Linked DNA regions of Schizosaccharomyces pombe. The protein of the gene in region 1 interacts with the protein of each later gene in a pairwise test. Each region holds a gene or a part of one and is shown on either strand. Other genes may lie near its edges.

What was found. Proteins that work in one complex are often made in the same cells at the same time.
Region 2: the proteins of ppr5 (region 1) and SPOM_SPBC1773.16C interact in a two-hybrid assay, tested with the Schizosaccharomyces pombe proteins (one large-scale study listed by BioGRID).

What each region holds. Positions count from the first base shown.
Region 1 is NC_003424.3:4,602,112-4,612,237, forward strand, and holds ppr5 (PPR repeat-containing protein Ppr5), read left to right. Parts: upstream 1-4,706; 5' UTR 4,707-5,520; coding exon 5,521-9,306; 3' UTR 9,307-9,626; downstream 9,627-10,126. Other genes in the region: protein mug157, read right to left, coding at 1-870, 1,036-1,110; SPOM_SPAC1093.07 (uncharacterized protein), read right to left, coding at 3,796-4,032; pdx3 (pyridoxamine 5'-phosphate oxidase), read left to right, coding at 10,020-10,126. UniProt on the Schizosaccharomyces pombe protein: Mitochondrial RNA-binding protein that acts as a general negative regulator of mitochondrial translation.
Region 2 is NC_003423.3:315,430-323,315, forward strand, and holds SPOM_SPBC1773.16C (transcription factor), read right to left. Parts: upstream 5,137-7,886; 5' UTR 5,052-5,136; coding exon 3,264-5,051; 3' UTR 2,265-3,263; downstream 1-2,264. Other genes in the region: dal52 (dipeptide transmembrane transporter), read left to right, coding at 533-2,026; gor2 (glyoxylate reductase), read right to left, coding at 6,233-7,255.

The DNA.
Region 1 (10,126 bases):
ATGTGAAAGTTCCACAACCATCATGGCATTAGCAGGAATAAAGTATTGTAAAACACAGGCATCATCAGATGGACGAAAAGCACTGCGTATTAAAGATGCATTAGCGTTAAGGGGAAAACCTCTTCCAGCAAGGCCAAGAGTTTCAGTACCAGAATCGGTATTTCGGAGGAAAGTATATACTGGGTCCTTAGGCAAACCGGTCTTTTCGTCAAATGATGGAGAAGACTGCTCTTCTAAAACTTGAATTATGCGTTCAACAGCCGCAAGCCATTTCACAGTAAAAATAGATTGATCCTTCGTATAAAGCCAATAAGTGTAGGAGAGCTTTAAAAATGAAGCCAAGGAATCTAATTCATATTTACACTCAAATACAACTGCTGGATCGTAAGCTGGTGTGACACGATCACTTTGTCCATTGTCGTTTCCTGAAAGAAAGCTTTGTTTAGGAGGCTGAAAAGCGTTACAATAAGGAAACTGGATTAACATTTCAGCTTGCGTTTGTATGGCACCAAGAATCAACGTCGCTAATGGTGAGTCTGATTTAGCTAGAGGTAAGTAAGGCAAAAGCTGGTTTGCAGAATCTCTGATCCATTCGGCAGGAATATCACCAGTGATTACTAGGGTTTGAGGATTATGTGAATCAGCGGCATGCCAACGAATTGTAGTATCAAGAGTATTTGGCATACAATTTTCAAATAAACGTGCTAAATCTTCATCCTCAAGTTGCTCCTTCACATCTTCAATAGTCTGCTCCACCGATTTAGAATGAAACGTACGGCATGATGTTGCTGGTCGTTGAAACGGTAACCTCAAAGGGCCAGTAGCTGGATAATGTCTCCTTCCAGAGTATGTCTTGTAATTAGGACATGCCTAAATAATTGTTAGATTAGAAACACTTGAATTTGTCACCATTTCTCCGAAAGAATCTCAGTAAGGTAGATTTATATTCTTAAGTCGAATAAAATCCATGTTCACAGGCTTACTAAGACTATTCGAGTTATGGTTGAAATAAGCCTAAAAAAAATTTTGTTTTACCTTCCAAGGAATATTAAGATTGTTCGCGAAAGCGATTCCAAATAGGAAAAATAGAATTGCCTGCCAATATTTCATTATCTGGAAAATGACGACGATGTTTGAATGAAATAAAAAATTTAAGTTAAATTTCTAAACATTCAAATCAATTTAATATTGCTATTCGCTACTTTATGGCTTGACGAAGCAAACTGGATGTGAGGTTATGAAAATAAAGTAAGTGTTGACAACTAACAACACGTTCGACTCAATGCGATCATACATTAAGTAAATCGCGTCTGCTCCTCAATTCTAGATACAAAAAGCAAAGTAAGATGGTTCAAAAAACGTAGAAGTATTTTATTAAAAGAAAGATAATAATAATAACAATCAATTTGGAGATGGTATTTATGCAATATCTTCGAGTACACCATTAGAACGATATAAGCTTATTCAGTAGGAAATTCAACAGAAAAATAAATAATTTTGAATAATAGATCACTTGGCAAACAATCGAGAAATATTAACGTACTCGGATTGTGGATGCAAGATATCAAAGCGAAAAAGAAGCAAGCATAAACAAAATTTTCAAATTTATTTTTATATTTGTTATTGAATGTTGTCAAAAAAAATACAATTTAAGACATGCATGCTTTCTTTTCTACAACTGAGCATTTTCCTTAAATTTAAAAGGGTTCTTTGTTTTTTTAGAAGCTATGTTTACTGTCACCTGCATACTTTCAGAAAAAATATAGAAGTTTAATGTTATTCAAATTCTTTCAGTAACATTACAAAAGAATATTAGAATGAAGAAAATTCTATAATATCACACTATCTTGCAGGCATAATTTATAGCAGCCAATTTTTGTATGAAAGCTAATTTAAAATTGGACACTGCATGCAAGTGTTAAATTGCTGTTTAACGTGTATAACCTGAATAACCTAATATCCAAAAATTAGCGATTTCATATATCCAAACTAATATTTGATTGCGAAATTTGTAGATTAAATTATTACTATAATAAATTTCTAAAATTATTTATCAGAAGCTAAATTATTTGAAGTCTTCGGTGGTTGCATTGTATTTTTGAAGTACCGTTTAAAAATGTAAAAAACAAGATATCGGAACAAAACTACATAATGCAATTTTTTTGCTTTATCACCGACTATTTTGTTTCTTGATGATTTTTTTACCCTATTCTTTAATGATTAACAGTTAATGAAGGTCGCAGGCTTTACATTAGCAGCATTATTCCAATATTTAAAAAGTAAACAAATAGATGTGCATAACCAAACAAGGGAACCGTCACATACGTATTTTAAATGAAGAAGGCGATGCGTATATAATTAAATCACAAACATTGTTGCTTGTTTTATGTTGTAATACGTATGAATTATTTTTATTTTTGGTTATTTAAGTAAAAGAAAAATTCGAATACTGCATATTTAAAATATTTAGATGGAAAGGGTTTTACTGCAGTCTAGTATGTTCATTGTAATAGTTTATTTATTTATTAATTTATTTTCTTTTTTTTTTTTTTTTTTTTTTTTTTTGGAAAAAGCTTTGCTTTTCACATATGTTTTAATCAATTTTTCCACACTACAATAATTTTTATACTACAGCACAGAACTCTAAGGTGCTATAACTAAAGAATTACAAATCTGTTTATCATGAACTAATAATTAGAAAAGCATTTACGACAATCACAGGTTGTTGTTAGATATTTTAAAAAAATAAAGGTCACGAATTCTGTTGTATTACAGATTCGTTAAAGGTTCGAATGCGCTACCTTGCTCGGATTAGCGCTTGTACTTAATTGTTAAGATTGCGATTTAGTTTATTGTTCTAAGTGTTATGGTTGTTAGTATAGACCAACAAGACATTCTTTAAAGCTGGCTACAATACTAGTGGGCCGACACTAAGTCAATTGTCGATCTGTGAATCATGACTGGGAAGCAGTGAACAATTAAGAAATATAATAGATAAAGACTGATCTACGGAGTCAATTCTTGATAATATTCATCCTTTTCTCAATACCACGCTAACCTTTATGGCAACCTAGATACTCTTGAAATATTGAACTACAGTGACCTACCATTTATAAATTGTTATATTGCAAATTGCCGATCTATACCGAGAATATCAAAGTAGTGCTGTATATTCAATATACCGAGCACTCGTTCGAGTTTCTACCATTGTAACATATGACTTTTTATCAGATCAACATGATATATGTCAGCAATGATCATTTACAACTCACAGCATACCCCATCGATACATTTTATAATGCCTTTCTTTCCATAAAGTAACGTTTCGATTGGAGGGCTTCCAGAGAGTGAGGCTCAGACAGTAATGGAGGCTTGTGTATTTAAAATCATACCAATGCCATTTGTTTTCCCTCCATACTTCGTGATTCTAAATGATCTGGTTATTTAATGAGTAATTCCGCAAGTTTTCTTTCTAATAAGGTTGAGATACTGTGCGCAGAGGAGCTTGATTATTCTTTAGTGCACTTATTTTAAAAGTACCCGTTTTAAGGTCAATGAATTTTGTTTTGTCTAAAAATGTTTTCTTAGGCGCGAAGTATAGTTTAAAGTTTAGGATTCACGTATTTCTCTAATAATGAAATTCGCCATGTATTTATTTATTTCTGCACCTGTATGCGATTCGTAGGTTTGTCTGCCTACGGGATTTTTCAGCTAGCACAATAGACTCTTACTTCTCATCTCTTGCGTGCTATTTTTGTAATTTCCCACCCTTCCTGAATTTTGCTTAGTCCCAACTTAGGAGTTGTTGGAAAATCTCCTTACCCGATAAAATGTGTTCCTAACCTGTCCCCTTTTACTAGCTGCGGCAAAACTGGCGCTAGTTCCGCTTCTCAAATCTATCTCAATATCGTCCGCCTTCGAATTTGCGTTGGGACGATAAACTTGTCTCAAAAAAATCGATCCACAATTTTTTTTATCTTCTTTTTTCACCGACGAGGCTCGTTTGGTCCACGCTAAAATATTGGTTTCCATATATATACATACCTGACATCCTGACAAACTAACATTCGCTAAATTCGTCGAATTATCAACGGGTGCAGAATATCTTTTACCACATATTTAGCAGCTCCTTATCTTTAAGACTTCTTATTCGGGGTAACGTGACTTTGACTTCATTGTCTCACAAAATTGCTACGACCAACCAACTACAAATATCACTCGTTCAATTTTAAACTTGAACTTGTCGAAAGCCATACTGAATACTCTGTTACTACGTACTAGACAATTGTTGAAATAGATTATTTTCACACTTATTGCCCTGTAACAGCTCGTTTTTCAACAAAACGAAATAATTTTGTTGATTGTGAAAAATTTCCGCTTTTTTTTTTGCGTCGCCATCCTCATCTTTCCCTGTTGGAAGCTTAAACACACGAAACTTGTGCTTGGTGTTTTAATTAATCAAGCACACACTTCCCTTATAGATCTACTTCCTTGCCCTTTTCTGAGGATTCATTAGCTACAGACATATCTGTTATTCATTCAACAAATTCTTGAAGCTCAAATCGCTTTTCTTTTTCCGCATTTTAGATGAACTAAGCATTTAATTATTCTATCATTTTCTCTCCCTTTTTTTTGTTATTCGGTTTAACGTACCTAGGTTTTCTACCCAATCCTCTTTTGTTTGGCACGGTGTATTAGATTTCGTCAGGTTTATTGTTTTTTCCCATCTATTTCTTCATTCATTTATTCCACTCCCCTGCTTCAATTTGATATAACTAAATTACCCTCCTCTTGTAATTTTCATATCGGCGTCTTGTTTCATTTCGCCACTGCTGACGCTTGATCAGATTTAAATCGTCATATATACTCTTCTCCACTTGCCATTAAGACGATCGTACTTTGAAAACATTGTAAAAATTCTACTTTATAAGCAAAGTATTCGAATCGCTTTCTTCATTTGACTTTATTGGAATTTTTATTTGTCTTTGATAATTCAATTGCGAGTGCTAGGATTGCTCTATCTTTTTATTTTTCAATCCTTGAATCTTTACGTACCCTCCAACTAGCACTCCTTTGTTTGCTTTGTGTATATTTCACTCTTATTCTGGTCTATAACGCAGTTCATCTGATAACGGTGATAGGCTCGTCATTACCAGGCGTACATAACACATTCACTTGATTTATTCTATATTTCAAATCTCAGTGACCATTTCATTTAACCTTTGCTGTACTATTTTATAGTCTGTCCTGCTAGTCTTCTTTCCCTGAGTTAGTGGATATTCTGGTTGGTGGTCGGCTATACCGTTTAGCTATACATATCGTTTCCGTTTTTCTCTCTTTTTTATTCATTTCTTGTGTTCTTTGGGTGTTTACTATTCTTTTTATTATTCATTTCATTTGTTTTACGTTTTTTCTATTTATTGTGTCTCTTTTTGGTCTAATTTTTTTTTAGATTGTTTATATCCGTTTTTGTTTATTTTCTAGACTATTATCCCATTTACGCTTAATATTAGTTTCAATATGGTTTACACGAAAGCTTGGTTTTTGCAAAATATTGCCAGACAAACACTTGGCAAAAATGTTGCCGTTCATCGTCCTCCTTTGAAGCTTGGAAATATGACGAATTGGATTCAACAACAACAAGCCCAAACGAACCTCTCTCTCTCTAACACGAAAGCACCTGGTTCATTGGATGAGCGTCTTTTCTTAACTGAGGATGACATTATCTTCCATGACCGTAGTATTCAGCTTGGTTACTTCGATCCTTCTCTTTCTGAGCGTAAGCAATCTCCTCCAGGCAAGTCCCTTCATCGCTTTGTTGACAATCTCAACCCTAACAGCTCACATTTTTCTGCTTCTCTTTTACCTGCTTCTCTCTCGTCACTATGTGACTCGACATGCGGTGATGTAGATGATGAACAACAATTTAACTCTCTCGCAACATCTCCCCTCTCAACTGAAACCCAGTCCGAAGTTTCGGACCCTTTACTGGATACTTTAACTCCTAATTCTTTGGAATCTTCTTTTGCTTCAATTTCTCTGAATTCTTTCACTTCTGCCAATGAGTTTATTCAATTTTTGAAAAGACTTGCTAGTAGTAAATTATCCATTCATACTTTTGATCTGTATAAGCTTGTTCGAAACTCTCCTGAACTATTGACTTTGGAAGCGTACAATATTGTTTTGCAATGCATGAGTACGGACGACTATTTTTTGTCGTCATCAAAAAACATTCAAAAAATTATCAAGGTTTATGTCGATATGCTTAATTCGTTTATCTCTCCAAACGTAACTACATTTGAAACCGTCATTTTCGCTCTTTGTCGTCGCGCTAAATTCGTGCATCAAAAAATTGAATCACTCTCTAAGCGCACTATTTACGCACATCCGAGTATTGCAAAAGAAATACAGCCTGAATTGCTCGATCTGCAATCCGAGATGCCTTTGCAAACTGCTGTTTTCATGTTTACTTCTAGCCTCATTAATCACGATCTCATATACTCTCCTCAATTTTATGCTATTTTAATTGAGAGTGTTTCTTTGTATGGAACGCAAAGCCAATTGGATTCCTTATTAGAGTGCGTTCCTCTTGGCACTATTGAAGCTAACGGCCATCCTGATTTACTCCCAGCTCTAATTAGAGCTCTCGGTAGAGCTAAAAGGCTCAACAGTTGTTTTCAACTTTTAGAGCGTTATAACTTATCTGATCCAACTAGTGACACTTCGATGACTAATGTGCGTTCTTGGGAAGGTTTAATGGAAGCTTATTTTGACACAGATCACCATGTTGAAGCAAGTGCATTGATGAAATCTTTTTTCCGAAAGGCTGATAGCAATCAAGTTATACCGTCTTCAATATTAGACTGCTTTTTACGTAGATTGGCTCAATTAGGACATTATAAGGAATCTGCTGAATGGCTTGGTATGGCTATAGAAAAGATTAGCACTTACAAAGCGAGTCCGTCTACATTATCGTCCATATTGGAGGCGGCTTGTTTGAACAACAACGACAAGTTTGCTATTGCTTTTGTGAGAAAATATACATTATCTCGATTTAGCGACTGTCATGCAGTGCTTCTCCGTTATCTGGACTTGCTTGCCAGATCAGGGAATGTCGATCTACTTCATTTACATGCATATCCCGTTATTTGTTCTGTGTCTTCTCACACTAACTTTACGTTTTCGAACGTTTACAAAGCTTTCATTGAGAACGGAAAGATTGATGTTGCACTTCGTCTACTTCGTAAACACATTGATCCAAAAGTTTCCCTTGGTAACAATACTGCACCATCTTCTAATAGTGTTGCTCTTCAATTATCAATCCTTAATGGATTTTGGGAAGTGTTGACGGAGGAGTTACAAAAAGATGTGCATGTTCTTTTATCGTTGGTTTCAACGTTAGAGAACCAAGTAAACTTCCCTCAAGTTGATTTTACTACTCCGTTGTTACGACATATAACGGGTTACTTAGTTAGCCGTCGCTTAGAACCGGAGCTCATTTCTCCTAGAGTATTTGGCTTTTTGCTGGAATATGCAGCATTCAATGTCGTGCAAACCGAAGGTACTTTCACTTCTAAGGTTATCCTCACTGATTTGTTAAAATGTTACTCCAATGGAACGTATAAAGCATCTTTCAAAAACGTTCATGTTGTTTTACGTTCTTTCACATACCTGAAAGAAGACGAAATGCTGGTTGCATCCGTTCGAGATGACATCGTCTCTGAAGCAGTCGTCGGATTCTCTACTGATAACAATGGACAGAAAATTTTAGCGGATATATCGCAAGTTTGTTATTGCCTTGACGACCTGGAATGCATCGATCAAAGTATAAATTCACTTGTTTCCAAAATGTTAACAAGTGCATCACCTGAGCAGGTGGACGTTAATATATTGTTTTTCCAGTTCGGTAAGCTTATTGAAACCAATAAATTTTTGCATCCTGAAGTTTATCCTACGTTAATATCTGTTTTAAGCAAAAATAAACGTTTTGATGCTGTGCAACGTGTTTTTGAGCATTCCAAGCACCTCTATAGGAAAATCAGTACGAAGTCTCTTGAAAAAGCGAACTGGTTTATGGCGTTGATTTTAGACGCCATGATCTTATCGTCTTCCTTTGCTCGTCAGTTCAAATCTTCAAATCTTTTTTGTGACAATATGAAAATGCTTGGATATATTCCTCGTGCTTCAACTTTCGCACATTTGATTAACAACTCAACAAGGAGAGGAGATACTGATGATGCCACTACCGCTTTGAATATTTTTGAGGAGACCAAACGCCATAATGTGAAACCTTCTGTTTTTCTATATAATGCAGTGCTTTCTAAATTAGGTCGAGCTCGCCGCACAACAGAGTGCTGGAAATTGTTTCAAGAAATGAAGGAATCGGGGTTACTTCCTACCAGCGTTACTTATGGTACCGTAATTAATGCTGCTTGTCGCATTGGTGACGAGAGTCTTGCTGAGAAGCTATTTGCTGAAATGGAAAATCAGCCTAACTATCAACCTCGCGTTGCTCCATACAACACTATGATACAATTTGAGGTCCAGACAATGTTTAATCGTGAAAAAGCGCTATTTTACTACAATAGGCTATGTGCTACCGACATAGAGCCTTCTTCTCATACTTATAAGTTATTGATGGATGCTTATGGTACATTGAAGCCTGTCAATGTAGGTTCCGTAAAGGCAGTTCTTGAACTTATGGAGCGTACAGATGTGCCAATTTTATCTATGCATTATGCTGCATATATTCATATTTTAGGAAACGTTGTTTCGGATGTTCAGGCAGCCACGAGTTGCTACATGAATGCTCTTGCCAAACATGATGCCGGGGAAATTCAACTAGATGCGAACTTATTCCAATCCCAAATTGAATCTCTTATTGCAAATGACCGCATTGTTGAAGGCATTCAAATTGTTTCTGATATGAAGCGTTACAATGTCTCGTTAAATGCATACATTGTAAATGCCCTTATAAAGGGATTTACTAAGGTTGGCATGATTAGCAAAGCACGTTATTACTTCGACCTTTTAGAATGCGAGGGTATGTCTGGTAAGGAACCTAGCACCTATGAAAATATGGTTCGTGCCTACCTAAGTGTAAATGACGGTCGAAAGGCAATGGAAATTGTGGAACAATTGAAACGCAAGCGTTACCCGCTACCGGTTGTTAATCGTATTTCTTCCTTGGTAAATAGCCATATGGGTCAGAAACCTAAACGTCGTTCTTTGAATACTAGTCACTCTTCTCTTGCTTCTTTAGGAAATGCTAGTACCCAACACTCAATTAATAGTTCTATCAATTAGACTGAAATTTGTGTGCTAATTGGATGAGATTTGGGCTATTCTTATATATTATATTTGATTATTGGCATGTATCTTTATTTCGTTCCTTGAAATAATTTTAAGCATCTTTTTTGATGCTATGTAAAATATTTTTATAGATTAATATAGAACTTAGAATTTTATGCATTAAAATGTCTAGAATTTACTTATCGCGTATTCAATTTTACTTTTAACCACTGGACCATTCCTGTACAAACATTGCTGAAATGGTTATGACTACCGCTAAGTAATAAAATTTGGTTCCACACATTACTAGATGATCTAAGTTGAGAACAATGTTGTTACCATGGCATATAGTTGTTAAAAAACTTCAGTTTACATAATACTTTTAAACATTCCCGCTACTGTAGAAGCACTGTTTTAATAAGTGCCCAATTGACATCAGTTACAATTTCAGGGATAAGCTTAAGAATGCTTGAAACTTTGGTATCATGACAGTAACTCTTGGTATCGTTCATGGCAATTTAAAAAGACATAGAATTTGATCGATTTGTGTTAAAATTAACCAGCTCTAGCATGCTGTACCGTATGACACGTCTTTTGCTAGCATTTTCTTTAGTGCGTGATACTGAGTCGTTTCATCGCGTTATATATATATCAAAACAGATATCTCATATAAATTCAGTTACTGCCTGAAACGAGGAAAAGTATCTTTTCCAATCCCGTTTACCACGATGTCTGAAAATACTGATTCCACCCACGAAAAGCTAATTTTTGCACCTTCTCGCTATCAATATGAAAAATCAAGTTTGCACAGAGATGCACTTATGGGAAAAGACCC
Region 2 (7,886 bases), on another chromosome or scaffold:
CTTTTTAAAATTATAAAAAATAAATATATCGTTATATAAAGTTACTTTTCTTTAACGGCTTTAATATTTTTATAATTTCTTAGTCCGTTAAATCAATAGTGGTAATCTTTAGAGAAAAAAAGGTAGATTAATGTTGCAAGTTGTACACCCCAAAATGGCACCTTCATACTCCGACTTCTATCCACGGATGTAAGATCCGTGGATGAGAAAATAAGAAAATCTGGGGATTTTCATGTTGATTGTATGCATACCTGATGCGAAATTTCAACCTATTCTACCCACGGAAGACCAAGTTGGAAATTGAATCTGAGACAAAATGCTGTAGATACTTGTAAAATAAGTATTTTGCAAACTAATCTGTCAAATTTGTTGACTTGTTGCAGCCCTTTGTCTGCTAAAATCAACATAGTTGTAGCTTATCTGGTTTGTATCAATGATAATGCTTTGACGCTTTCAATTATATAAAGGACGAAGGAAAGTTCAAATATTTATTATTGTGCTTACATTCACAACAATTACTACTAATCTCATCATGGAGAAGACAGAAGAAGAAAATTACAGTATTAAGGAGTTGGGTGAAAAAGGATCAGACAGCCAAGAGGATGTTGCTGTGATTTTTGCAGAGAAACATCCCATTATTGACAAATCGCTAAATCGAAAACTCAAATTAAAGACAGATTTATGGGTTATGCCACTTCTCTGCCTCATTTCAGCATTTCAATATATGGACAAATCCACCAGTAATTATTCATCAATTATGGGTATTCGCACCGATTTAAATATGGTGGGCAATCAATACAATTGGGTTGGTACGTCTTTTTATCTTGGTTTTATGGTATTCTCGTTACCATTATCCACTCTGTTACAAAAATTTCCTCTTAGCAAAGTAACGTCTGCCTTCATTGTGGCCTGGGGTATATTAATGACCTTGACTTGCCTGGTGCATTCTTATGCTTCCTATATCGCTACTCGTACTTTGTTGGGTATATTGGAATCAGTTATTACGCCAGCTTTTGTTTTGTTTATTGCACAATGGTATAGAAAAGAAGAACAATTTTTTCGTATGGCATTCCTTGTAGCCTGGAATGGACTTGGTGGTCTTATTGGAGGAAGTATGTCTTACGGCTTGTATAAACGAGAGCTTGAAAACAATTTAACCATGTCCCCTTGGAGAATCTTATTTATTATCACTGGATTGATTACCATAATTAACGGGGTTTTCATATTTATTCACATTCCCGATGAACCCTCCAAAGCTTGGTTCTTGAGTGAAAAGGAAAAGGATCTTGTCCTCAAGCGTTTAGACACTGATCATGCAGGGCTTGGCAGCAAAAAGTTTAAGAAATACCAAATATTGGAAGCTTGTCGAGATGTACGTATGTACTTATACTTTTTCCTACAAATAGCCGTTGCTATCCCTAATGGTGGGCTTTCAAATTTTAGTAGCATCATGTTAAAGAATCTTGGCTACGTAAAAGGTAAGGCATTGCTTATGAATATGCCCACTTCCTCCATTTCGTTTGCTGCCTTAACTTTGTTTGGCCTTATCCCAGAGTTTACGAATAGACGAATGGATATTGCTTTGGTTGGCCTGGCTATTAACTTAACTTCCGGATCACTTATTGCATTTGCAAAACCTACACATGCACAACTTGCAGGATACTGGTTGTTTGGCATTTCACCAATTCCATATATTTGCATCCTTAGCTGCATTTCGTCTAATAGCGCAGGCCACACCAAAAAAGTTTTTATGAGCGCTGTTTCCATGATTGGATATTGCGTTGGAAATATGGTCGGCCCCCAAACATTTAGGTCTACACAAGCTCCAAAATACCAAGGAGCTAAAGTATCATTTGTCGTTTGTTATTGCGTTGCTATATTTATTATTATTGCTATTTATGCCGTTAATGTGCGAGAGAATCGCAGAAGGGATGAAAAAAACGAATATTTATCAAATGAATTGAGTGAGGAAGACAAAAAGGATTTGACCGACTTTGAAAATCCCGAATTTCGTTATTCTATTTAATTTTCTATTGATTTTTTTGTTTTTTTACTGTTTTTTACCGGTGTGCATTGATGAAGGAATAATAATTAGTCAATTCTTTTAGTCAAGTTATTAGTATATTGTAAACCTCTTTACTAGATCCCCTATTACCTTCTTTAGTTAATTAATAAATTGGAACTTGTGTTTTTTTCTTAATTATAAAAGAACAGGTCACGTACACTATTCCTAGTTCTATTAGTCTAATTTTTGTATCAAATTGTATACCCGTTTGTTGATTTAAGTGGGAAATATCAATTGGGTATGTTAATAGACATGTAAGCATTTTCGTTTGTACAATGCTGAGGTAGAATTATTCCTGATTTCTTAAGCATCACTAGCCAGAATGATGATGGTTTAATACCCGTTTGACGAAGACCTATAAGTTCTTAAAGTATTTGACATATAATTTTTGTCACTATGAACCTACAAATGAATTTCTGTAACGTCCAACAAATAGCATCGGTTCTTCTATCGATATTTACTTATTATACTGATTATCCTGTCTATTGAAATCCACTGTATTGACAACACTAAATAAGATGATGAGTGTCTTAAACTATGCATGTCCTTAACGAAGATTCGGTCAATTGGTTGTAATATTTTCGACTTCTCTTTAATAATTTACCAGTAGCTAGTTTACTATAATAATAAAAATCATTCCCATGTTGTGGTCCACAATGAATATTAAAAATGGTTGTTTACAGTATTATTGATCATGAATGATAGCATCGCAGACTCAAGCCAGCTCAAGAACTGTTTATCAATAACCGAAAACAACCAATATATTAAAAGTACTAGAAAATTCTAAAAAGTGATGACCTGGGCGTATAGGACAACCAGTCTAAGTAAGCATTAATTTTTCAAATTTACGAAGTCGTTGGCTAATTATAACATAACATATGAGCTATAAGTTATTTCATGTTCTCGCTAAATTGGAAAACCCGCAAACCGTCAGATTAGAAATTGTTGAGATAATATTGCCCGGTGAATGAATCGATCAAAAAATGTTAAAGTGATAATATATATTGATTAAAACCATTATATTGTACATAGAATCCTCACGACATAAATATTTTCCGATACTTGTCGTCAAAGTAAATTAACTTGCCATATATATATCAAGCATGCGCTTTGAAAACAGTAAGCGATAAGAACACGATACAGTAAGCATTCAAATAAAAGGACATATTTAAGCCTTTAAATTATTAGTATATAAATATTAAATTGAAAAACTTTCGCTCAAGGCATCAAATGTCCCAAACACACTTGTATTTTGCAGCGCAAGATATTGCTCAGCCGATTGAATAAAATTCTCAGTAATAACTGATAACCTCTCAGCAAATTCTCCACTGATATCTTTCATTTTTAAAAAAAAAGCATGAATAGAGTATAACCGATCAACGTCCTTGACGCATATATCAGCGTCCAAGTCGTCGTCTTCCAAAAGATGTGAAAAAACCGTCAAAAAAGGTGTAAACGGACAATAAAGAAACAGCCAAAGATAACAAATATTTTTTGAAATAGGATCAAGAACCACCAAAAATCCCTTAATAACGTCAATAGCTGCTCTAGCCGTGCTTAAACAAATTTTTGATCCTTCAATGCTATCGTCCGCGAGATATAAATAAATAAGTGTATTGCAATATGACAGATATATTTCCACGCAAGCTGTAAAAAAATGTTGCTTAATAATATCCAGTTCTTCGGGCAGCCCGTTACCTGCCTTAAGTATCTCAAAATAATGCTTCATTTCAGAAGGAATGGCTCTTTCAAAATTCAATATCTTTGTTTGAATGTTAGATATCACACCCTTTTGACCTTTGTCTAAAAAAACATTATTACTATTGTAGAGCTTAGTCCTTATTTCGTGTTTCAAAACGGTTAACGATATTTCACATGTAAATATTAAATCTCCTTGGACGTTTTCAGCAAAACAATGAGCATAATTAATGTCAGGGTATTTGCACTCAATTTCCAGATCTCCCAAAACGGGAGGGGTTCCGAAAATCAAGGATGTGGTAGTTTCAAAAATGTAGCATACCCAAAATATTCGTCTATGCAATTCTGCCATATCTTGGTCAAGATCTTTGTCTGTACTTTCTTTGTGTAAATTTAAATCCTTAACCATCAAACAAACTTGACCGCAAAGTTTTTTGCAGAGATTGTACAACGACAGATGACTTGCGAACTGAATCATGATCACTAATGCTTGAATTTTTTCGAGTTGCGGTGTGAGAAAAAAGCCAGGTCTTTGAATTAGAAACCAGGAAGTAGCAAAAAAAGACTCCGCCAATTTACTATTATCGACTCTTTTGTCTCGAGATACAGCCAAAGCCAAAATAGCATAGAACGAGACAATCCAGGCACCCTTGACCAAATTCTTGTCTATATATAACTTTTCAAAGCTTTCCATGTACTGTTTCTTATAAAATATAGGCCAATTACAATTGATAAATCTGAAATACCAATCCAAGCATGTTTTAGCCCAATCTTTGTCTGGAACATCTCGAAAGGCACTTTTCCAAGTAGGAAAGCTATGGGGGAATAAATCGTTGCTGCTAAATCCATTAGAAAAAAAATTGGTTCTCATAGTGTATGCCTGCAATTTTGAATCCACGAGAGCCCCTGCACTCAAAATCTGTGAAACCAAAGATGGAAAACCCCCGGGTTTCACTTTCCTCTCTGAGTCCTGCTGAGATCTTAATAAAGAGAAAAGAGCCTCTAGCTTTAATTCGAAATTATCAAAACGTTTATCCAAAGCTTTAACAGCATTTTTCAACTCATTGATTTCATTCTCTTCGTCGTTATCATGATCTGAAGTGCTGAGCGGAGTGTAGAGTATAGGATACCTTTCGTTTTCTTGTACTGCTGCTCGATTGTCATGTTTAACCCGCTTAACATAACGACACTCTTCGCCATATACCATACAATTTTGGCAAGTTAATTCACCATTGCATCTTAGCTTCTTACGCCTGCACAATTCACAAGCATTTCTGATCCTTTTCATTTAAAAATGTGAGTCTTTTTTAGTTATATATTTATGCTTAATCTTGTCAATTGCTGTATATATTAAACACAGACTAGTTGCGAATGAGTTTTGCTGTGGGCTTTACGAATGGTCCATATTGATAACTCAACCTAGTCACACAAGTTTGATAAAGGGTAACCAGTCGATACTATTCTGGTTGAAAAAAAAAAAAAAGTTTAATAGTAATCAATATGAAAGATGTCGGACATTTTGCAGATAATCAAACACGATATTGAAGCAACCCATCTTTAGCTGCAGTTGATAAGATGAAAACTACATAGCTCATTAGATTATACCATTTTAAACATGTCTTTACCGTATAGATATTACGAAGTTAAAAAAAAGAGGCATTTTTCTTAAATTGAGGAAAGAATTAAATTTGTACGTTGATAAACGCCAGTTTCGTCGAAGTGAAATTGAACTTACTCAAGCCAAAACTAGGAACTAGTCTGCCTGACTTTATGGTTCTACGTATGCTTATATAAATAATACGAACTAGAAATATTTTCTTCATCTAATGACTAGTTTATGAATTGATATTGAATGAAATGGAATATTTTATGCACACGCGGGAGGATATCAGTTCGGAACCAAAATATTCTGACTAATACGAACACTTAGATAGACATTTATCGAAGGATCGATTCATGTACCATACCATTTTAAATTGGCAACAGCAGTTTGTAGTAGCCTGATATCTAAAAGATTATAGCAGTTTATGATTTTAGCCTTAGATCTAAGATAATTCGACTTGCCAATTTAATCACCGTTGCTAGCATCCTACTATAAAATTATGCGAGCATGTCTAGTATACGCACGCAAAGATAAATATCTTCCAAATCCTTGAAATGGAATCAGATATTCAATTTTTCTGTAAAGTCCCATTTTGGAAAATGAACTTCTACTTTTACTTTTCCCTGAGAGGAGGAGCATCTTAACAAGTGAATAATAAATAGTTAGCTTTAAAAAATAAGGATGTGATAATCTTTTCAACTATGTAAGTTTGAACAGGCTGACCCAAAAAGCAGCATTCAAAATGACAGAATCTCTCATATGTATTCTTTACAGATACGTGCTCACAAAAAGCAACAACATAAAAATGAATATTTTTTATTAACATATACTTTACTTGTGTAGATGTAAAGGACTTTTGACTTGCATCAACAACCATTCATGCCGAACGGACCGTTGACTGGATTGGTGGGGATTCCTGTATCAAGAAATGTTTCAATACTTGCTAAAACACATTCCTCTGTTTTAGCAACCGTAAAATTGGTATATACACCACAATGTGGTTGGATGGTTACTTTATCGCATTCCAACCAAAATTTATTGGGAGTAGGTTCATTCAAAAACACGTCGAGACCTGCACGAGCAACTTTGCCAGATTTTATAGCCTTGATAAAGGCATCTTCATTAATTATTGCACCACGAGCTGTGTTAATAATATAAACTCCATCCTTCATTTTTTCAAATTCCTTCGTGGATATTAAATCGTGAGTTGCTGGGGTAAGAGGGCAATTAATGCTAATTACATCACTAGAGCTTAGCAGTTCATCGAAAGAAACAAAAGACGCACCTAGTCTTTTCTCTTCCTCTGCCTCCAGGCGATTTCTATTATGATATACAATTTCACAACCTAGAGGAAGAATTTTTTGAGCAAAAGATTTGCCAATTGCGCCCATCCCAATAATGCCCACTCGTTTTCCATATGGATCGTCCGTCAGCGATAAGTTTTGACGCCATTTGCCAAGGCGAAGACTTTGTTCTGCCTCTCGAGCTCCACGGAGTGTACACATAAAGAGCATTAAATTCATATTTGCTGTTCCCTCTGTAGGTCCGTTTGGAGTATTTGCGACGTAAACACCATTTCTTGTAGCCCAGTCGACATCAACATTATTGTAACCAGCAGCACCAGTTACGAACAATTTACAAGTGGGAAGTAAAGGCCCCAGCATTTCTTCCGTAAATGGCGAAATGGCTGCATTTCTGAATAACCAAAAGCAAGCATCAAATGTAGATTTTGAGGCAGCTTCGTGAATTTTTTCTATCGTTTTGGATCGATCGTGTGGATCTGGAACGATAAACTCAAAATGATACTTTTCAGATAATCTTTTCAACGTGTTTGTAGCAAATTTTAGTTCGCCAATTGCTAAAACGCGCTTCGTTCGCGATTGCTTCATTTAAATTAATAAATGGATAAAACAAAGTCGTGTTTAAGTAAACGAATTTTCCCTTAAAAATGATTGAGGGTTAAAAGCTGGGAATGAGAGTTGCTAGTAATTTATACGGTTAATTAATTATATACAAAAAAATCACCGAATGATCGTTTTTTTAAAAAAGACACAGCACTTTGGAAAACAGGCCTTTTCACCACTGTGGCATATTGGTAAATTTCATATTAATTCTGCTCAATTAATACACCGGTAAATCAGTTCGATGAAATGATAACGATCTTGTCTATGATTAGTTTGATCATGGGACAAGCATAGATAAGATATTTGTTAATCTGAGAAATAAATTAGTGACTCGATGGATTTCCTTAATCTTCATATCGTAAATGAAGGAGGAGCCAACATAATTTTAACGAGGTTCGTTAAATGAAACTATAGATTTGCGGACTTGGTTTATATTATTATTCATTATTAATATAGAAATTGAATAGAATACGAGAATTCCCTTGCGTATGGTATTATTTATTATTCCAAGTTAAATTGCTTGTTGAATTTTTAATCCATAAATTATATCCAATAACATCTGGCAATATCGAGTTATCGATGTTTGTTCAGGAGGACTGATATCAAATAACAATTC